Xenopus tropicalis: one gene and its partners. The protein of the gene in region 4 binds, or shares a complex with, the protein of the main gene of each other region. Links are inferred from orthologs where the notes say so. Each region holds a gene or a part of one and is shown on either strand. Other genes may lie near its edges.

What was found.
Region 1: mettl14 (region 4) and zc3h13 share a complex: the UniProt entries of both Homo sapiens proteins name them as parts of the WMM complex. The link is inferred for Xenopus tropicalis from reciprocal best matches to the Homo sapiens genes METTL14 and ZC3H13.
Region 2: mettl14 (region 4) and rbm15 share a complex: the UniProt entries of both Homo sapiens proteins name them as parts of the WMM complex. The link is inferred for Xenopus tropicalis from reciprocal best matches to the Homo sapiens genes METTL14 and RBM15.
Region 3: mettl14 (region 4) and wtap share a complex: the UniProt entries of both Homo sapiens proteins name them as parts of the WMM complex. The link is inferred for Xenopus tropicalis from reciprocal best matches to the Homo sapiens genes METTL14 and WTAP.

Annotation. Positions count from the first base shown.
Region 1 is NC_030678.2:134,321,097-134,326,997, reverse strand, and holds the start of zc3h13 (zinc finger CCCH domain-containing protein 13), read left to right. Parts: upstream 1-2,197; 5' UTR 2,198-2,741; intron 2,742-5,901. UniProt on the Homo sapiens protein: Associated component of the WMM complex, a complex that mediates N6-methyladenosine (m6A) methylation of RNAs, a modification that plays a role in the efficiency of mRNA splicing and RNA processing.
Region 2 is NC_030678.2:72,274,180-72,280,088, reverse strand, and holds the start of rbm15 (RNA-binding protein 15), read right to left. Parts: upstream 3,503-5,909; 5' UTR 3,411-3,502; coding exon 900-3,410; 3' UTR 866-899; intron 1-865. UniProt on the Homo sapiens protein: RNA-binding protein that acts as a key regulator of N6-methyladenosine (m6A) methylation of RNAs, thereby regulating different processes, such as hematopoietic cell homeostasis, alternative splicing of mRNAs and X chromosome inactivation mediated by Xist RNA.
Region 3 is NC_030681.2:44,086,551-44,091,588, forward strand, and holds the end of wtap (pre-mRNA-splicing regulator WTAP), read right to left. Parts: intron 4,676-5,038; coding exon 4,521-4,675; intron 2,346-4,520; coding exon 1,771-2,345; 3' UTR 1,109-1,770; downstream 1-1,108. UniProt on the Homo sapiens protein: Associated component of the WMM complex, a complex that mediates N6-methyladenosine (m6A) methylation of RNAs, a modification that plays a role in the efficiency of mRNA splicing and RNA processing.
Region 4 is NC_030677.2:70,544,471-70,549,854, forward strand, and holds the end of mettl14 (N6-adenosine-methyltransferase non-catalytic subunit), read left to right. Parts: intron 1-795; coding exon 796-912; intron 913-2,581; coding exon 2,582-2,792; intron 2,793-4,718; coding exon 4,719-5,023; 3' UTR 5,024-5,133; downstream 5,134-5,384. UniProt on the Homo sapiens protein: The METTL3-METTL14 heterodimer forms a N6-methyltransferase complex that methylates adenosine residues at the N(6) position of some mRNAs and regulates the circadian clock, differentiation of embryonic stem cells and cortical neurogenesis.

The DNA of each region.
Region 1 (5,901 bases), on a different chromosome or scaffold from region 4:
TCCCGAATTTTTCTCGCTAGCGTACGAAAAAGCCGCGCAAGTGTACGAAAAAGTTGTGCAGGCGTACAAAAAAGTCGCGCAGGCATACAAAAAAGTTGCACAAATAAAAAATCAGTGGAAATACGCTCGGAGCCTTCGAACGAACGCTCAGAGCATCCGTATCTTGATAAATCTCCCCCCTAGACTTACACATGTACAGAACATCATTCTCCCTGTCTTTCTACGGGAAGCTGTATTACCAAATATTGTGCTAAATGCAATCTGTTCCTACCCCTTGTGCCAGCTAATGTCTTTACTAAAGTGCACTCTACTCTCTTGTAGCCCTCTCAATCATGCTACGTCATAGCAAAATGCAAGGTTGTAGCAACAAACAACTTTTAACTTGGAAATTTGCGAAGTAAAGCTGGCCATACACGCACCGATAATAATGTACGAAACCTCTTTTCGTATGATATTCGGTGCGTTATGGCAAGTTGGCGAGTCGACCGATATCACAGGAGGCTGCCGATATCGGTCGACTTGCCGATTGGGCGGGTTAAAAGATTTTGATCGGGTGCCATAGAAGACGCCTGAGCAAAATCTGCCTTCAGGGCTGAATCGGCAGAAATCCTATTGTTTCTACCTCCTTATCTGCTGTTTCAGCCCTGAATGTTAGTGGCCGATTGAACGATCTTTCGTGCGATGGTCGCACGAAAGATCGCAATTCGCCATGTGTGTGGCCACCTTAACTCAGGTATTCAGGTACATAGGAAACACACACTTACCTCTAGTCTTTTTTATATTTGCCACTGTCTTCTTGATTTGACCTTCACCTACTCTCTCTAAATGTTCCTGTTATCTTCTAATGACTCTTTCTTGGTCTCTTCTTTGCTTTTCCTTTCTGTCCTATTCTCCTTCTGAATCCTTCATTTTCTGGTATATATGATTTGGCCTTATACCCCTTCAACTTAAGTTATTCCCTTTTTAACAATACCCCATTCTCTCCTACTAGACCCCAATTCTCAGTTCTCTCCTGTCTTGGGTGCAAGTGCAGAGCATGTTTTTCAATAACGCACAGAAACACTCCCTTTGGCCTCTTTTTGCTCAATTCTTTCTTTGGTAATGCAATGTGCACATGGGGATTGTTTCATCCTGCAAAAAAAGCAAACATAAAATGTGTATACAAAACTGCACTATGACTCAGACCCTGCAGGAACACTGAGAATCTGTATGCGGAGTGCGTTTCTGCCTATAACAAGACACCTTTCTCCATGGGTCCTTAGTCTTAAATGTGCATAGCTGCAGTGCTCCCACAAAAGTAATCAGTGGTTCCAAAGGTATAGAGGTACTGAAAGTTAGAGAAGAGATACAGTAAATGCTAAAGTGGACAGAAAAACAAATATATTTATGGAGCACTCAAATAAGGAGCAAGCTGAAGTCAAAGCAAGTAAGTTGTGTGGATCTAGGATGTAGTTTGAGCAGGAGGAGGCTCTGGATAAGAAATAGGATGAAGAGGCTTGGATGTGGAAAACTGATTAAGACTGCATACCCAGGACTACAACATGTTATTATCAGATTGCTAATGTCTGGATATGGCCGCTGGAGCACATGCTTGTGTATACACTAGAAGGCGGTGAGTTTGCAAGTGAGTGGCTGTAGCCAAGCAATATCTAACATACATCAAACTTGAAGGAACTGTTTTCCTGCAGCACATTCATGGCACTATGCATTTATCAAATGTTTTTTCACACTTGGATCTTTGCACTTGCCATCCATTTTAAGTCCCTTTGCCCAAGTAACCCCTACATAATGTTACATCTGTGAACACAATTGCATTTTTTGTTGTATATTCTCCCTGTGCTTTTGTGGGTTTCCTCCGGGTACTCCAAATTCCTCCAACACTCCAAAAACAGACAAGGTGGTTTAACTGGCTTCTGATAAACCTGATGACAGCTCTAGATATATGTATCTTTAAACTGTTAATAGTGTTTTGGCTTAAGAAAGTGCAACCCAATGGTTAACTGAATACAGAATGTGCATATACAGGGTCAAAACTCTGGGTCTTCAACAAGAGCAGCTGAGCCAAGCCTGGTACAAACAGGGAAACCATTAAAACCGAAAATGAATGTAAAGTGCATAATAAATCATAGGACTAATCTTTTTTTTAGCTTTATAACAGCCTAAGTTCTCCTAAGTCAAACACGCCCATCTTAGTTACTTCCCACAGCGCACAGCTACGTCACTTTGTTAGCGACCGCATGGAACCTTACTTTGAGACACACGGTCGCTTCTTATGACGTCTCGTTTCCATAGCCCGCAGTTGATTGGCCGTGTCTACTCTGACTGGATGAGCGCTCTCCATTGAGTTTGCGGGCTTCCCGGCAGGCGTAGCGGCGGTCCTGCTGTATCTCCGGCCTGCGCTCGCCTGAGCCGAGCCCGCCTGCTGTTTTGTTGCCGTCGCTGCGTCACGATCGCTCCGGGAAACCGGGATCAGCTGCGGCAGCTGAAGTGGTTGCCGCCGCAGTGGTGGAAGAAGAAGAAAAAGAGGAGAAGGAAGAAAAAGAGGGGTCAGGAGGAGCCGCTACGGCTGTTACGCGGAAAGGCAGAGAGGGGCGGCGAACCCAGCCGTGCTCGGGCGCTCAGTCACTCCGCGGCACTGGGAGACGCCGCTGAGCTCCCAGTAGCTGCCGCCAAACCCACAGCGGTCACGGCCCGGGATTCCTCAGCCAGCGGCGTTCGCCGCCGCTTCAGACGGCAACAAGGTGAGAGCAGCGCCCAATACTGTTCTACTGTTGTTACCCCTGTATCTGTCTGAGAGCGTATTAACTACAGGGGCACCCAGGATACTGGGGGGGGGGGGGGGGTTGTGCATCTTTGCCTTGGTGCAAGTTAGTGACACTTAGTTACCCCTGTATCTGTCTGAGAGCGTATTAACTACAGGGGCACCCAGGATAGGGGGGGGGGGGTTGTGCATCTTAGCCTTGGTGCAAGTTAGTGACACTTAGTTACCCCTGTATCTGTCTGAGAGCGTATTAACTACAGGGGCACCCAGGATACTGGGGGGGGGGGTTGTGCATCTTAGCCTTGGTGCAAGTTAGTGACACTTAGTTACCCCTGTATCTGTCTGAGAGCGTATTAACTACAGGGGCACCCAGGATACTGGGGGGGGGGGGGGGGGGGGGTTGTGCATCTTAGCCTTGGTGCAAGTTAGTGACACTTAGTTACCCCTGTATCTGTCTGAGAGCGTATTAACTACAGGGGCACCCAGGATACTGGGGGGGGGGTTGTGCATCTTAGCCTTGGTGCAAGTTAGTGACACTTAGTTACCCCTGTATCTGTCTGAGAGCGTATTAACTACAGGGGCACCCAGGATACTGGGGGGGGGGGGGGGGGGGGGGGTTGTGCATCTTAGCCTTGGTGCAAGTTAGTGACACTTAGTTACCCCTGTATCTGTCTGAGAGCGTATTAACTACAGGGGCACCCAGGATAGGGGGGGGGGGGGGTTGTGCATCTTAGCCTTGGTGCAAGTTAGTGACACTTAGTTACCCCTGTATCTGTCTGAGAGCGTATTAACTACAGGGGCACCCAGGATACTGGGGGGGGGGGGGGGGGGGGGGGTTGTGCATCTTAGCCTTGGTGCAAGTTAGTGACACTTAGTTACCCCTGTATCTGTCTGAGAGCGTATTAACTACAGGGGCACCCAGGATACTGGGGGGGGGGGGGTTGTGCATCTTAGCCTTGGTGCAAGTTAGTGACACTTAGTTACCCCTGTATCTGTCTGAGAGCGTATTAACTACAGGGGCACCCAGGATACTGGGGGGGGGGGGTTGTGCATCTTTGCCTTGGTGCAAGTTAGTGACACTTAGTTACCCCTGTATCTGTCTGAGAGCGTATTAACTACAGGGGCACCCAGGATAGGGGGGGGGGGGGGGTTGTGCATCTTAGCCTTGGTGCAAGTTAGTGACACTTAGTTACCCCTGTATCTGTCTGAGAGCGTATTAACTACAGGGGCACCCAGGATACTGGGGGGGGGGGGGGGGGTTGTGCATCTTAGCCTTGGTGCAAGTTAGTGACACTTAGTTACCCCTGTATCTGTCTGAGAGCGTATTAACTACAGGGGCACCCAGGATAGGGGGGGGGGGGGGTTGTGCATCTTAGCCTTGGTGCAAGTTAGTGACACTTAGTTACCCCTGTATCTGTCTGAGAGCGTATTAACTACAGGGGCACCCAGGATAGGGGGGGGGGGGGGTTGTGCATCTTAGCCTTGGTGCAAGTTAGTGACACTTAGTTACCCCTGTATCTGTCTGAGAGCGTATTAACTACAGGGGCACCCAGGATACTGGGGGGGGGGGTTGTGCATCTTAGCCTTGGTGCAAGTTAGTGACACTTAGTTACCCCTGTATCTGTCTGAGAGCGTATTAACTACAGGGGCACCCAGGATACTGGGGGGGGGGGGGGGTTGTGCATCTTAGCCTTGGTGCAAGTTAGTGACACTTAGTTACCCCTGTATCTGTCTGAGAGCGTATTAACTACAGGGGCACCCAGGATAGGGGGGGGGGGGGTTGTGCATCTTAGCCTTGGTGCAAGTTAGTGACACTTAGTTACCCCTGTATCTGTCTGAGAGCGTATTAACTACAGGGGCACCCAGGATACTGGGGGGGGGGGGGGGGTTGTGCATCTTAGCCTTGGTGCAAGTTAGTGACACTTAGTTACCCCTGTATCTGTCTGAGAGCGTATTAACTACAGGGGCACCCAGGATAGGGGGGGGGGGGGGGTTGTGCATCTTAGCCTTGGTGCAAGTTAGTGACACTTAGTTACCCCTGTATCTGTCTGAGAGCGTATTAACTACAGGGGCACCCAGGATAGGGGGGGGGGGGGGGTTGTGCATCTTAGCCTTGGTGCAAGTTAGTGACACTTAGTTACCCCTGTATCTGTCTGAGAGCGTATTAACTACAGGGGCACCCAGGATACTGGGGGGGGGGGTTGTGCATCTTAGCCTTGGTGCAAGTTAGTGACACTTAGTTACCCCTGTATCTGTCTGAGAGCGTATTAACTACAGGGGCACCCAGGATACTGGGGGGGGGGGGGGGGGGGGGTTGTGCATCTTAGCCTTGGTGCAAGTTAGTGACACTTAGTTACCCCTGTATCTGTCTGAGAGCGTATTAACTACAGGGGCACCCAGGATAGGGGGGGGGGGGGTTGTGCATCTTAGCCTTGGTGCAAGTTAGTGACACTTAGTTACCCCTGTATCTGTCTGAGAGCGTATTAACTACAGGGGCACCCAGGATACTGGGGGGGGGGGGGGGGGGGGTTGTGCATCTTAGCCTTGGTGCAAGTTAGTGACACTTAGTTACCCCTGTATCTGTCTGAGAGCGTATTAACTACAGGGGCACCCAGGATAGGGGGGGGGGGGGTTGTGCATCTTAGCCTTGGTGCAAGTTAGTGACACTTAGTTACCCCTGTATCTGTCTGAGAGCGTATTAACTACAGGGGCACCCAGGATACTGGGGGGGGGGGTTGTGCATCTTTGCCTTGGTGCAAGTTAGTGACACTTAGTTACCCCTGTATCTGTCTGAGAGCGTATTAACTACAGGGGCACCCAGGATAGGGGGGGGGGGGGGGGTTGTGCATCTTAGCCTTGGTGCAAGTTAGTGACACTTAGTTACCCCTGTATCTGTCTGAGAGCGTATTAACTACAGGGGCACCCAGGATACTGGGGGGGGGGGGGGGGTTGTGCATCTTAGCCTTGGTGCAAGTTAGTGACACTTAGTTACCCCTGTATCTGTCTGAGAGCGTATTAACTACAGGGGCACCCAGGATAGGGGGGGGGGGGGGTTGTGCATCTTAGCCTTGGTGCAAGTTAGTGACACTTAGTTACCCCTGTATCTGTCTGAGAGCGTATTAACTACAGGGGCACCCAGG
Region 2 (5,909 bases), on a different chromosome or scaffold from region 4:
GTAGTATAAATGACAAAGTCAATTGTTAGCTATGACCCTACATAGTAAAAATGTATGTGATTTATGTGACACGTGGCAAATTTAGAGCTTCCTTGCATAGCTTACTCTATGCATGAAACCTACATACTGGCTAAGGAGCTCTCTGTGGTATGGGGCACTCTTATATCTGACACTTATATGGCACTGTTCTACAAACATGCTATATGACCCATTTCTTGATGGAGGAAATAAACTAAACAGAGTAAGTTTAAAAATAAAATTCCTTCTTAATATCATTCAAATCCTCTCTTTAGATGTGTAGGATAAACATATATATGTTTGTGTGTGTGTATATATATTATATATATATATATATATATATATATATATATATATATATATACACACACACATACACATACATACAGTATTTACACTGAACTCTACTGCATGCTGCAGAAAACTAGCAGAAAAGTGGATACTCGAGCATGTGGTAACGGGTCAAATTAATACATGGAAGTCTTTTTTAACTTTGTATTCCCAATTGTTGCTGGACAGCATCACATGAGAACATTTTTGGTGTTACAGTCCAGTGACAGTTTGGGAACCAAATTTAAGAAGTAATGTATTCAAAAATTAGCAGAAATCTCACACTTAAAAAAATTCAAGAAGTTGCCAAAATCAGAAGATTGTGATTACCTATGCTAAGAGAATATAATTTAAAGAAAATGGGAAATAGGCAGGAAACGTCAACACTTGAATATGGTCCGGTCCTGTTTAATTACATAAATGCTTTTGCTAAGCAGATCAAAAACTGCAATACAAAGACTGAACTTGCGATTACAAAAAAAAAAAAAACTAAAAGTTATACTGTATCCCATAATACCTTGTGAATAGTAGACAGAAATACAAACATGGACCTAGGATGCCCCACGAACTATAATCATTATAAGGTAGTCATCATCAGACTTCACAAGGGCTTTTGCTTCAGCATCAAGAAACTGCTGGGAAAAATTACAGGGAGGAAAAGCATGAAGAACTCCTGCATGATCTTTGTCTTTATTGCTCCCAACGGGCAGGCTGATAACACCTGCGGCTTGTTTTTGTTTTAAGTAGGACACCAGGTTTCTTAGGGGTCGTTGTGTTGAACTGGCTTGGTCCACTGATGAACCCTCGGAAGTACCAGGAATGGCAAGTAGGATGGCATAGCCATTAGGCCCTGCCACTCTGATGCGTCGAGTAACTTCATCCAACTTTGGCTGGTCAAGTCGTAGGCGCTGTGTAATTTTTAGCTGTGCCACCTTTCCTCCTGAAGGTCCCTCAACCAGCAAGCTGGATGCAACTCCAAGATCTCCTTGCAAAAGGTGCATATTGGATGGAAAATTGCTGTTCTTAAGCAGCAGCATACCTTGCCAAGCCAGACACAGCTTGTGTGCTGCTTCTGATTTTTGTGGAGGTTTCACTTTGCTGTTGCCCTCTGGATGCTCATCCTTTTTTAAAGGGCTTTTATTTGCAGGTACACGATGCCTTCTTTCTCTTTCAACTGAGTTTTTTCTATCATGTTTGTCTTCTTGACCCCGCTCCAGGCTTCCCTTCCAATCTCTAGAAGGTGAGGAGCGGCATGCTACTCGATCAGAGTCATTGTAACGGTTGTCTCGACCTCCACTGCCTTCAGGGCTACGTTCAGGAGTGACACAGTGTCTCTTTCTAGAGCGGTCACTCTCTGGTGATCTGTCTAGGTGACGGCTATCATCCAGTCTCCTTTTCCTGGGCTGATCTCTGTTCACTTCATCTCTTTCACGGTCTCTGTCTAAAGCCCAATTATCTGCACGTCGTTCTATTGTTTCAAGAGATTCACTAGTGACTCTGTGTCTGTCTCTGGCAGGAGGTGACACCCAATCATTGTTTGTATAAGCATCTCTTTCCCTGTCCCTGAATATTAAAGGTGGTGAACGATCTCTGGCTCTGCTGGCTTCACTAGTCCGATGTCCTGGTGTCTCCTCTCCAAAATCAATATAAGGGATGGGTAATGGCTGAACATAAGGATGTGGAAAACGAACATCTGCTTCTGCAAAATCCACACGAAGTCTTCTATGGTCACCCCCCATAGGGAAGCCTCTCATCTGGGTACAGGCAGCTTGGGCAGCATCCAGACTTTCATATTGTATATACGCCCAGTTTTCCCCCTTGCGGTAATCAATTTGACGGATGGTGCCAAATCTATCAAATTCCCGGGCCAATGCAGTTACTGGTACCCAAGGTCCCAGACCCCCCACCCAAAGGCGGTTTGTTGGTACTACTTTCCCATAGCCGATCTTTAAAGCATGACTACGAAGCATCTTGCCGGACATTGCAACCTTTGCCCTGTGAGCCATGTCAAGGTTTTCAAACTTTATGAAACCATAGGTCGTTTGCTGCCCACGACCAGCTCGTTTTATATCTACTTCTGTAATAGTTCCAAAACGTCCAAAGACCCTATAAATTTCACTCTCCTTGACAACGACATCCAGATTTCCAACAAAGAGTGTACGATTAGCTCTGGCATCAATCTCTAAAGCAAGGTCTTCGTCTCTAAAGTTCAGTCGGGGATCTACTGTGTAGGTAGACCTTAGCCGGCTATCATAAAGGCTGTATTCCCGTTCCCTGTCCAGCTCCCTGGGTAGAGCTGCCGGAGCCGGTGGGAGGCGCCCCAGAGCCAGCTGCTGCAGCCTATAGTCTCTGTAGCCCAGGCCGCCGGGGGAGAGTGCGCGCTGGCCGTGAGGGTGCCTGTGTGTGGCTAGTGTGGAAACAGCGGCGGCGAGTCCGCCATACGAGTCTTTCTCCCCAGGGCTGCGGCTGCGCCTCCGGTTAGTACCGCCGACATTCAAATAAACAGCCTCAATCTTGAGGGGTCTGTCGTAAAGGACAAGCCTCCCGCGGGCGTGCTTAGCGGCTCGGGCATCCAGGGCGCGCCTGAAATTCACTAAGGCCACACGCTCGTCCCCCTCGCGAGAGATTTTCACACTTACGTCTCCGAATTTTTTGAATTCATGGAAAAGTCCATCCTCTATTGCCTCGTCACTTAGCGAGGAGCCCAGCTCGCTTATCCGCAAGGATTTGTAGTATTCTGGCTCTGCACGGCTCTCTGTAGCCCGGCCGCCGCCGCCTCGGCTCTCAGCGCCACCTTTACTGCTGCTACTGCCACTGCTTGCCCCGGGGGAGCCGTAGCGATGCAAGCCCTGGGCTCTGCTCGATTGATCATAGTCGCGGCTCGAGGAAATAGCCTTTTCCACATGCAGGCTCCGGCGGCCTGTGCTGCTTTCAGATGTCTTTCCCGATGATCCGTTACTGCCTCCACCGGAGCTCAGTTTTTTTCCGCTTCTCTCGCGAGTTGATTCCTCCGCCCCCCGGGACCGTTTGGCCTTGGCCGGGGAGCGCTCTTTTCCCTTCATGGCGAGTTACGGGATGATAGTGTCTTCACACACAACTACACTCCGCCATTTTGCAGCGGTTTCGCCTAATTGACCGCCCTGAATAGCGATTGGGTACTTTCTGGCTTTCTTAAAATTCTATTGGATAGCTCTGCAGTCATTCTTACAAGATCGCATAGGATGGGGTGGTCTTTGGGCACGTCACTTCCGCTATTTCTCTGCGTTTCCCACGGGGCGTTATGGGTTGGCTAATGGCTACGTTGCAGGTTTATTAAAGCTTCGATCCATCCTTTCACGCGTGAAATCTTTTGTGCTACAATGGTTTCTAAGGTTTCATTTGTTTCATATCAATTTTACTTTTGTAAAATTTCAGTGAAATGTAAAGAGGAACGTTGGAAAGAGACAACATTGGCATATCAGATGCAAAGCGTTTTAAACAACCCAGTAGAATCGATTCTATATACTTTTGCAGGTTACTAGGCTGCTGGATAGGAGGTGCATAATTGTTCAAGTGATTTTAAGCCGAGAACGTCGTTTCAGTTAAAAGTAGATTTTTTTTTTACACATTATTAGTGGTGTAATTAGTTGTTACTGGTCCCCACAACAAATTCATTTTAGAACTATTAAACATATGCTAAATTGGGTAATTAAAATTGTTTTTTTGTAAGGACCATTCTAGGCCCTTTGAATCTCTAGTCTGTTTCCCTTTGTAGTACCACCCCTACAGATTATTAATACACTATTTCATGTTTGTGTTTCACTCAAACATATCTTACTGGTATTTCCTTTGCTGTTATTGTCAAACAATCCTAATGCAGTATTGTTACTATACAGGGATATATAGATTGTAGACCTTTGGTAACCTCTTTAACATTTTAACACAATGTTCTATAAGGTACATTTATTAATACCGTGTTATGTGCAAAGTGCAATTTTCAAAACAAATTTTCCAGCGTACTTTATTCTAGAATTCAAGCCTTGCAGATACTTTTATGTGATTGTACACAAAATGTTTTGGGCATTGATCCCTTTATTAAATGTGAACAGTGGCAATGTGTTCAGAATGTAGGAGAATATAGCTCCAGATCCCAATAACCTATTTAAACCATGAACCTCGTAAAAAGGTTATTTCCCAGATTTTTTTTAATTTATGCCCACCAATAAGTGACTCATTAGGTGAGGCACTGAACACAATATTACAAAGCGAGGCAAAATAGATAACAAAAACTATCAAGTACAGGTATCGGACCCCTTATTCAGAAACCCATTATCCAGAAAGTTCAGAATTAAGGGAATGCCAAAAATGGCTTCCTTTTTCTCTGCGGAAAGACTGCTTATCTGGAAAACCCCAGGTCCCAAGCCTTCTGGATAACGGGTCCCATACTTGTATGTGAAATATGGAACTTTAGAATATTATGATGACATATCCTTCTTTTCTTTTTAGATGAGTGATGAATATGGAGCTTCTACTGGATGTGTTCAAGCATTTTTTTGTTTTCAGGTATTGATATAAATTAAGTGATGTAGGAGCTAATTGAATGGGTTAAATGTTTAATAAACATGTTTGGGTCCCCTGCATAGACCTGTTGAGGGCAGTATCCTGTTTAAAATATTCTTTTAACAGATAATTGTTTTAATGGATTTTTCTAATATTTTATGAACTTTATTATTTATTATGGCCTTTATTGTTGGTCCTACAGCTATGTAAGGTGACACAGAATTTAATGGAGCCCTTATTTAATATGCAAATGTGGGCAATGGATGCATCACATAATGCAAGAATTGTTGAAAAATACATTTTGACATGGATTGCACTTTGATGAGGTTTTTGGAGGTGGAGCCAAATAGCCTTTGAACACACACAGGGGCCAATCCCAAAAACATGTTGTATGCAATAGTATAATAAAGTATTTATAAGGTTTGCAAGCCCTGAGTAAAGGTCCCCATACACTATAAGATCCAATTTCAGGCCAGATATCGGTCTGTCAGGCCGCTCGTTTCTTCCCATACACGGGCCGATTAGCTGCCGAATCGGTCCAAGGGACCGATATCGGCAGCTTCTATCGGCCCGTGTATGGGGGCCTTTAGTCTTTGTTCCAACCACATTTTTTCTGGGTCCAACAATGGACCCAGGTGGGGGATTTCATTTAGAACAAGTTATGTGGACATGGCACTATATATAAATTAATTAAATAATTAATACATCTGGCATGTAATGTTAATGACCACATTAACATTTAATTCACTAGGTAGAAGTACATTCATTGTGTAAATGCAACCTGTGCTTACAGTAATGACAACAGATCACTTAAAAATTCAGGGACACTTTTAATAAATGCATGTTGCAGGGCTGAACTGATTGCATTTAAATTAAATTGTGATCATTGCAGACCTTCTAGCTAGATTTTTTAGATGTGTCCCTAATTTTTAAGTGATCTGCTAACCTTATGTTACAGTGACTATAAGGGTGAAGACGCACAGAACTACTAGTAGCAGCTACTTTTTCATGGTTACGAAACC
Region 3 (5,038 bases), on a different chromosome or scaffold from region 4:
TTACGTGACTTTGTTTCCCTGCTGAATGAGAACCGCTTTGTACTGGATTCATTCCTCGTGGCCATACACGGTAAGAGACGCTCGTCTGGCGAGGTTGTGTCGTCTAATGCATGGGCAGAAAAGCTACCAAATCAGTCTACAGGACTCGAATCAGCAGCTTAAATGTATGGCCACCACTTAGGCTGGTGCCACACCACAGGCAAATTCTTGGCCTGCTGAAAAAACACAGGCCGAGAATCAGTCCCTACACTGGCACCCTGAAGCCCTGTCTCAACTCAGAAATAAAATGGTGGCTGTTTATGGAACGATCAAGACAAAAGATGTCCATAGCCCCTCTTATGCTCTTCATCTTTTTAAGTCCATGGGATGATTGGTTGTGCATAACTGTGTGGCCAGGGTATAGCTGCCTTTAATAGGAGCAATACGGTGGTATAACAGATAGCACTGCTAGAGTGCTGCAATCAATTTCAACCAGGGCACTATCACCAAGGAGCCTGTATTTTCTCCTGTGGATTTCTTCAAGGTACCATAAATTCTTTCCACTCCAAAAACACAGGCACGTTAATTGGTTCCTGATAAAATTGCCCATGCAGTATACGTGAAAGCAATAGGACCGCTAAATTAAAGCTCCACTGGTCAGTGAATGATGTATTCTCTTTAAAGACACTGCAGAAAATGCCAGTGCTGCATAAATATGGAAAGTAGAGCTCTTCCAGATTTCAGGCCCTACTTGGTAGTCCAATCCTTGGCCAGGGATCCTCTTACATCGTAACAAGGTTACAGATATATGGGAAAACTGGATCACTTATGACCCTATATACATCTAGGATTCACCCCATTGTACTGCCCATGCAGTATCAGAACTTGTTAAAAAGAAAATAATTTGACCTCAACTATATATATAACTATATAACTATATATATTTTTTTTTTTTTTTTGAATACCATATCTAGTAGTGGTAAGCAACTGGACTTGCTGAGTAATCTTGAAACCACTTCACCACTCATTTAAACATACAAAACTAGATAATGTGTACCATCATTAACTGGATAAATGAAAACCTTCATTAAACTTTATTCAAGGAATTTATGTGTATGACAGACAAAAGTTTGTGTGACGACATTATTAAAAATCTTTATTTTGGTTTGGTCAGTACAGGCAAGGTATTATTGGAGTCACAGAGGCATATGCATAAACAAGGTACAACAGTTCTTCAAACTGAGTAACTATGCACAAGTCTCAAACATTCAGCCATCTATAGAAGAAAAATAAGATATGTACAAATGTCATTTGAAGAGGAAAAAGAAAACAATGATTAACACAAACTACCACAGGATATATCTAGGTGTCCAAATTTGTTGATAAAAACTACATTACTGGGTAAACTTTGGCAGTCAAACCCTCACAATACCAAATTGTTATTTAGGTCTAAGTATAATAATGGAATGGGGGATTTGTGCCCTTACACAGCAAAGGTTTTAGGTTATAACATTTGTACAGTCATTGTTAATGTTTGGAGTTTAACATTGTTCCTTGACCTCTAGAAACGTAACTGGTGAACACAAATGGCAATTTTAGCAACAACATAATTAACTGTTAAAATGTCCAAATTGGCAGAGGTATTACATCAAGCAACAATGCCGGAAGAAATCCTAAGGAAGGCAAATATGCGACAAAAAAAATGTTGGATTTCTGGGCAAAAAAAATGTTCTCTGAAATTAAATGACGTATAAAAAAAAAACAAGTTCAAAATGTTACTTTTTTTTGTTTTCACAAAACAGAACCCTGTACATTTACACTGGAGTCCAAACCGTTTTGAAGGTGACGGGAGCTTACAGTTCTATTGCCTTTTCCACTCACTGGCTTCTCCTCCTGGGAGTCATGATTAGAGTCTGTGTCATTGGACTGGTGAGTTAGAGAGTTCTCACTGCCAGTTGGGGAATCTACACTTTCATACCCAGTACTAAGCTGATTCATATAGCTGCTCCCACCTCTACTAGTTCTCTCTTCTGAGTGGTTTGGGAGCTTTCCCTCATTGATAGGGGAGGCTGAAAAATCCTCTTCTGTGCTACTGCCCTCCCTATAAAGACCAACTGAGCTGTGTGTTCTCTGATGGGAAGAGCCACCATTGCTTGGTCCATTTAGTATACGGCCACAATCCTTTCCAGAAGCCTCGCCCTCATCCTTGGATTCCGACGAAGGAGTCCTGTTACCAGATGTTTGGATCTGTTGCTGGAACTGGGATAACTGCTGACGGGAGTCTTTCAGCTGTTGCTGCAGAACTAAGATTGTGCTCTGCATTCCTTCCACCTCCTCATCAAGCTGAATAATGAAGTCATTCAGTTCTGTATTCAACAAAAAAAGGATCAATAAATTGCAAACACATTTATAATTACCAAAAAAAAAAAAGAATGATGCTTACTTATTGTACAGCGCTGCGGAATATGTTGGTGCTTTATAAGTAAATGTTAATAATAATAATACTGCACCAGCAATGAAGGGGAATTTATCATGTGCCATCCGTGTGCTTTTTTTTTAAAATACATAAGAGCCATGAATATCATGTAAATAAATCCTTATAAACAGAGCTTGGTAATGTCTTCAGTTATAACTGGTGCTTAGTTATGTAATTATCTGCACAAGACTCATGAAAACTTGTGTATTATAATAAATGTACCTCATTTTGTAAAATATGAGCATATTAGGGCATGGAACTCTGAGGTGCCTTCTATTTAAAGAACTTAGCCTTTAGCCTTGTGTCTTTTTATAGACATATAACACTTGACTGGTTATACATCACATAGTGTACCCACCTATTGTAAAATATATAGATATTATAAGTCACCAAGGAGTTCCACAGCCATATAAAGACACAAGGATGAAGGTCATTAAACGCCAAAACTTATACTATTCTTATATTTTACAGTATTTATTATAATACAGAAGCATGTGAGTAATGTGGAGAAATTACATCATGTTTATATTTAAGAGTATTATAATAGAAAAAAAAATCTCAATGTTTTATGCATATTTATTACATATAGATGTCTTCATAACTCCTGGAAACATCTGAATCTTACTGGCCCTTGTAGGGTTATGCCAGTTCTTCTAAACCGTAAGGAGTCAGAACAGACTAGTATGACATTTGAAACACAAATATCTCAAGGCAGTAAGCCATAGTGTAACAAACTTAATGCAGGTACCCATATGCAAAAAATATGCATAAAACATACACAGGAAATATATTTATAAACTTTTCAGCTGTAAAAAAAAAATATATTGTTATAAGTGTCTCTTTTTGGAATTTTATATCATCTTGTTTTTTATTTTTTTTTCAATACTTTAGGTCTCTTACTCTGCCACGTTAGGGCTAAGACATGGGGAGCTACTTGTAGTGGTTTCAAAAATAGACAAAGTTGATAATTTACTGATAATTGTCTGTGTTTTAGCACAGACAATTCTCATTTTCTTGGTGTTTTGTAGCCGTGACGAGAAACTTCTAAGTAACTCTGTGTGTCTTAGCCCTTATTTAACCACAAGAGGTGATGTACAAGAGCCATTGTAAAGCTGCAGTCAACAGTGATGAGTCACAGAGAACATTACAGGGGACATTCCTACAGTAAGTGATTAAGACACATCCCTTATTTTCACTGGCATCTTTTGCAGCACTAGCAAACTGAGTTGTGGCCTGTCACTGGAATTCTCTCCACTATGTTAATACATACATTACGGGGAAAACTACCTTCACCTGTACCTAGGGTCAGAAAGCTACAGAGGCTGCCAATGTAGCTTTGCTTCTAAAAATTGCATTAATGGGCAGGACCACACAACTTTTTTGCCTGTACAGTCCTTGCATTAAGGCTAGTGGATAAACCTTTCAGTTGTGGTAAAATATTGGCCAATACATTGATATTCTTTTATTAGAAAAAACAATATACATAAAAAAGCATAATTTAAGATGTAAAAAAGCTTCATAAAATTTTGTGCATGTCATATGACCCATTTGGTACTTAAATAACTGAATGCTCAGTGGTCGTTTTATGAAAATTCAAGTTGGCATTTTGTTCACAATTGAAGGAAACGCAGGAAAAAAAAAATAAAACCAAATTTTTAAAGAAAGAAAAATTCGGCAGAAAAAAATTCACTAAGCAGAGGGTTGTCTTTATTTTTTTTTTCTTTTCGGCATCATTGCCTTTTTAGCCTCACTGAAATTTTGATTCTTACCAGCATTTGTCACATTTTTCCTTAAATAATCTAGCATCCGACAAGAACAGTCACGCAAGTTTTATTGTGGTTGTTCTTTTACTTGTGGTTTTTTTTTTTCTCGCAAACTCAAATTTTGCTAAGTCCACTCCTTAGTGTTGTGGGGGCAGGGAACTACACCTTTCTCTGTCTGGCACTTCATCTCCAAGGATTCAATTTAACTCTTAACTGTTACTGTACTGTCCAATCTCTATACAAATTGACAACCATGATCATCACACAGGAAGTTGTTAACTATTTCAAAACAATGGCCTTACCATCTTGGCTGCTTTTAAGTTCCTCGCTATATTTCTTCTGCAAAGCCAACTCAGCCTCGAGTTGGGCAATGCGTCCTTGGGACAGCTGCCTCCCCAGCTCTTGGTTCTCTTGGATAAGCATTCGACACTTTGCCATTAGCTTTTTGCCTGTTTGGCTGTAAGGGAAAGAGTTACCCATCAAAACATGAAGAAATGACTGATATTTTGTGGAACCACTGCAGTGGTAAGTAACTACACATGTGTTATATAGGTTATATTAACAACCCAAAGGCAGGACTCCTGACTGTAGTTAACCAAGTTACTTGCAGAGCATGGAAATAATGCGTTATTCTAAAATAATTTACATTAGTGGCCAGATACACCAGGCACACATAAGGATCATTTATTTTCTACCACAACTACCTGTTGGCATAACTGCTTCAGTATAATTCAGCTAGCAACCACACCTACAGGTATCTGTTTGGTTTCCACCAATAACTGCTTGCTTTCACTACTTCTGGTAATACCATTATAATGAA
Region 4 (5,384 bases):
ATTATTTTATTAAAATGGAGTCTATGGGGAAACAGGCTTTCCGTAATTTGGAGCTTTCTGGACAACGGGTTTCCGGATAAGCGATCCCATACCTGTACCAGCTTGATTAGCCAATGTGGGCAGATCTTAATGAAGTCTTGGGGAGGCTAACCAGTCAGAAAGAGTTTCAAGCAGAGTATGTAAGTAGTTTGTCATGGGGTTGGTGCTCTATATTTACACTGCATTATAATACATATACAGTATGTGGTTTCTAAAAATATGTGGGGTTTTTGGGAGTCTTTATACAATTGGGGACATACTACCAGACCTGTACTGGGATTCAAAATAGGCCCTAGCAATTCTAGGACACAGAGGCCCAAACAGCCGCCACCAGCCTTCTACATAGTGACTGTCTTACAGCAGCCCCTCTGGCATTTGCCAGAATCCACAGATTGCCAGTACGGGCCTGGTCTGCACATTCTACGGTTGTTTTTTTTATTGCTTATGTGCTGCTCTTAGGATCAGAGGGTGTTAGCAGGAGTACATGAGCTTCTTCTGAATCCAGTGCATTCATTCACAGTCAACACTAACATGGAGGTTAATAGAAACTTCTGTAACTACCCAGAAAACAGCACCATATCCCATTAGCAATTTAGCTTGGTTGCTCCTTGAAATCTATTTGACGTGTATCCTAAGGCCTTAGTGTCATTTAGTCAGACATCCCAAGTCTCACAAAAGGATTGAACAGTGTATTGAGTATTTAATAAAATTAAAAATATATCTGTGAAAATATTTTCTTCTCTAAATGTCCTCTAGTGCTTGCGCAAATGGGGTTTTAGAAGATCAGAAGACATTTGTTGGATTAAAACAAACAAGGACAATCCTGGAAAAACAAAGACTTTAGACCCAAAGGCAATCTTCCAGAGGACAAAGGTATAGTGTTGTTTTACAGACACGTACTTTTTGTGTCACTGAAAATTTTGTGACCATGACCACATTTGTAGCCTCACTCATTACAAACTCAAGGCCCACATCTCCTGCAACTGGCTACATTGCAAGGTGAGGCAGAGGCTTAGGCATAATATGTTGGGTGCATGGGGTGGCAAAAAATGCAGAGCCCCCCAGAAAGCCAGTGTGACCTAGATCATTTCTAAACATGTTAATTAATATACATTAATATGACTGTCTTTGGTAAGCAACCTTAACCTGCTTCCTTAAAAATATACAAATGTTTATATAGTCACATTTAGATATTTATAAATAGTAAAGAGTCAATACATACCTAGTTATAGAATGGAGACCAGGCAATCCTGAATAGCACTTTTAGTTTCTTGGCTACATGAGATTTGATTTAACTATGACACATTTACCTGTAGGAATAATTCCATTTTGAGCAGCTTACATTGTCTATCCCAGATATTGATGCATATGTATGCACAATCTGTAAGAAATATAAAGCTTCTTAACACCAGTCTTGGATTGCGGAATTATTTTTCTAGCTTTTCAGCTGCTGCTTGGCAGTGCACATGCATATTGTTAGTCCCACAGAAGACAAGTTTCTGAACTTTTTTTTTTTCTACATTTGTGATGAAGTTTTCCAATAACTGGAAAGGAAAAGGGAATAGTTATTTATGTCATATGTTTAGACACCAGAAATGTTCATGTTTTCAATAGAAATTGCTACTTTTATTCATTGAGGCAGCATTAAGTTGAAATTATAGCCATTAGACTGACAATGCCATAACATCCTTTTAATTTCAGATTATTGTTCTATTTATCAAAGTCTGCATTCTCTGACTTTCTGATGAAGCTCTTCCCACACGAGCTCAGTTGATTGTGCAAGTTTAAAGACAGTAATCCACTTTCCTGTTTTTTCCCCGAATAGCTTTTGCATAAGTCAGTAGTATGTTTCACACTGCTGTCTTGCTGCATTATTAAATTTGCACCATTTACGCGCTAACCACAGAGATGGCGCAATGTTGTAAAAATCATAAACTTTTCTGGATGATTCTAGACTTTAGAACATTAGTGTACAGTGGCATAAGTACTGTGGGCCACGTGCAGGATTTGCTCCCAGGTTCTCCCTCCTCCCCAGCCCTTTCACCCACCATATACCTTTATGGCGGCTCCAGCAGGCCCTGATGCAATTGTACCCGCTGCACCCCTGGCAGTTACACCACTGTAAATATTTATTCTACAGAGGCTTCACAAGCAAATACCTACTTGTCTGGCCCTTGATAAGAGGTAATAGTCATCTTAATTTTTCATCTAACTATAATAGTAAAAGTCTTATATGCACCTTCTTCATTCTCTCCCATGTATTACTGGTTAAATATATGCATATATTAAATCCTATAATTGAAGCACTCTTCAAAAATGATATCTGCCTGAGGAAATAGTAAAAACAAATGAATAAGATTCTGCGCTCAGTACATAATAATCACTTTCAGATCTCCCCACAGAAATCTTGTTTGTAAAATGAAACAAAAGTAAGAACAACTGCCTGTTTTACTGTTAAATATACATTTTCCTTAGCACAAGTACAAGCATTATAATCACACAAGAGCTTTTAATTATTCTGTTTGTGGACGTCTATTTGCAGGAGCACTGCCTTATGGGTATCAAGGGAACAGTTCATCGCAGCACAGATGGAGATTTCATCCATGCAAATGTTGACATTGATCTCATCATCACAGAGGAGCCTGAAATTGGAAACATTGAAAAGCCAGTGGAGATTTTTCACATTATTGAGCATTTCTGCCTTGGAAGGAGACGGTTACACCTCTTTGGAAGGGATAGCACTATAAGGCCAGGTAAGGCTTCATCTAGAATGAGATTACATTCCTATTGCTGAATACATTAAATATATTGCGAATGCAATATTTGTGCTCTAACAATATAAAATGGCTGGCTCAGGGATAACCATATTGGCCCTTTATCTAATTCCAATGGGGGTTGCATTATAGCACATGTATCCACATCCGACAGGGAGGTGAGTGGACGTATAATCACGTGTGACAGGCAGCCTGGGATGGCAAATGTAAAAGCAGCTGTTTGTATGGCTGATGTAGATGGCAGAGAACACTGCTGCTGAATCTTTGCAGTGAATGAAACTGTTTGGTAATTGGACTGGTGGGAAATCGCTCAAGGCTATACTGTCCCACGGTGCTGTATAGAGAAGGTGAACCCTCAGTCTAATCTGAGTGTATCCAGGCAGCATTGTCTGCTTAATCACCAGTGTCCTTCAACTCTTAAGCACCCATAAATGGATAGGGTTGAGAAAATCATTTACCCACTGCGCATGCCACATATATTCACGCTGGTGTTCTTTCTTAGCCAGTTCTGTGCTTGTAAATTATGAACTTATGCCTTGCATTGAATAGTTTATATTAGTAAGCCAGCACTGTTACCTTAATACATTTATGGAACCAGTTCCCATGAATTGTTCTAATGCATTGCAATGGCAGTGGATTTATATTGGATAATTGTTTTGGATAATTTATACAAACTGCGCTTGTATTCAGACATTGAGTTTCGGCACAATGAACATTTTTGTTAGATCATATTTTAGATTTCTACCCTACTTTAATAGAAACATGGAATACGTGGAATACGTTATTGAAGTCACTTTTTCATATGGGAGCACCATATTTTGGTACATCCTTTGAGCCCAGTTTTTTGTGTTCTCTTGCTTTTTATTATTTATTATATTTTGGCTTTACACTGGTTCACACAGCCTTTGTAACTCACATTCTCTGTTATTGCAGTGTGCTTCTGTATTCTATATTTACTACACCAGATATCCTCGGAGGATGGAATCACAAGTCTGATATGCTTAGTGCTGCTGAGTTGCATGTCACAAAGTAGCTAATATACACAGTGTCACTTTTCTTGCAACTTATTTATTGTGACAAAAATACATTCACATTACATTCTGTGAATTTACAATCTGTTTCTTAAATATATTCCATATCTGGTATGTCATGGGAATGCAATGTGTGTTTATTGCCATGTGTTCCCCCCTACAAATGTTGCAATTTCTTACATCATATTTGTACTCATGTTAAATTATTTCTGCCTGTTCCCTGAATCTACCCTTTCATGGAGGCTCTGCTTTACAGTGTGTCAGAACAGAATGCCTAGGCTCTAGGGACTCCTATAAAATAAATGGAGATGATATACTTGGAGCAAACAATTTCATGTCATTGCCCAAAATCACTTCTGCTGGGAATAGGCTATACGCTATACAGTTCTTTGGGAAAACAGCTGGTGCCGTACTGAGTTTTATTTCTGTGCAAAATCCAGAAGTATTTATATGCCCTTGGTTGTGTATGTGTATAAATGTAATTGCTGCCACTGTAAAACTGTACACTCCTGATGGAAAAGTGTTTTGGTTTGGGATAATGAAAGAAGTCACTTCTCAGAGGCCTGGGCTGGGTTATGGAAGTCATTTGTGGCATGCAATCTGCTTGAGCTCTATAAAACTGTGCCCAGCTGTTGGTTAAGGTAGGTTCCACATCAGTCTGTCACCCTCCAGCTGCTCTTTAACTTCAAATCATTAGGACTGCTACCCTGGTGTATATGTAAACTTTTTTTTATGGTTAAATTATGTTACCTGGATGCTTTTGAGTCTGAGGCATCCATCTCAGCCAATGAGATTTGTTGCTGTTGGCCTGCAAAGTCTTAACTATTCAATCACCTTTGGTGTTCCTCATCTCTAATTTGTGTTTTGTTTATAGGTTGGCTCACTGTTGGACCTACTCTTACCAACAGCAACTTTAATTCAGAGACTTACGCTTCATACTTCAACACTCCAAACTCGCCTCTTACTGGATGCACAGAGGAGATTGAAAGACTGCGTCCCAAAACACCGCCACCTAAGTCAGACCGTGGATTTGGGGCATCGAGAGGAGGAGGCCGAGGCGGACCATCTGCAGGCCGGGGAGAGAGGGGCAGGGAAAGGAACAGAGGCAGTTTTAGGGGAGACAGAGGGAATTTCAGAGGACGTGGAGGACCACATAGGGGTGTCTTTGCCCCCCGCTGATTAAATACAAGGACAGGATTTTTTTATTTTGCACTTCTTCATGTGTTTGCTATTATTTCAAGGATAAATATTCTTATTACCCTGAAGATTGTGCCTCTATAATAAATTAATTTTTTATTTTAAAAAATTCTTGGCATTGGAGTTTTACTAGTTTTAAACTGTATATATAATGCTGACATATGCAGTGAGTCCGTTGGAAAAAAAATACATGAGACCAGTCAGTTGGCATGTAGTGCGTATAGTCTATTGCTGGCCTTACGCAAATCTGGGTATGGGACATGACCTTCTTATTGCATCTGGAGTTATTTATTTATTTACTCCTTGCCCTAGTCTGTCCTTCCACATGCTAGAGGGGGTGTAA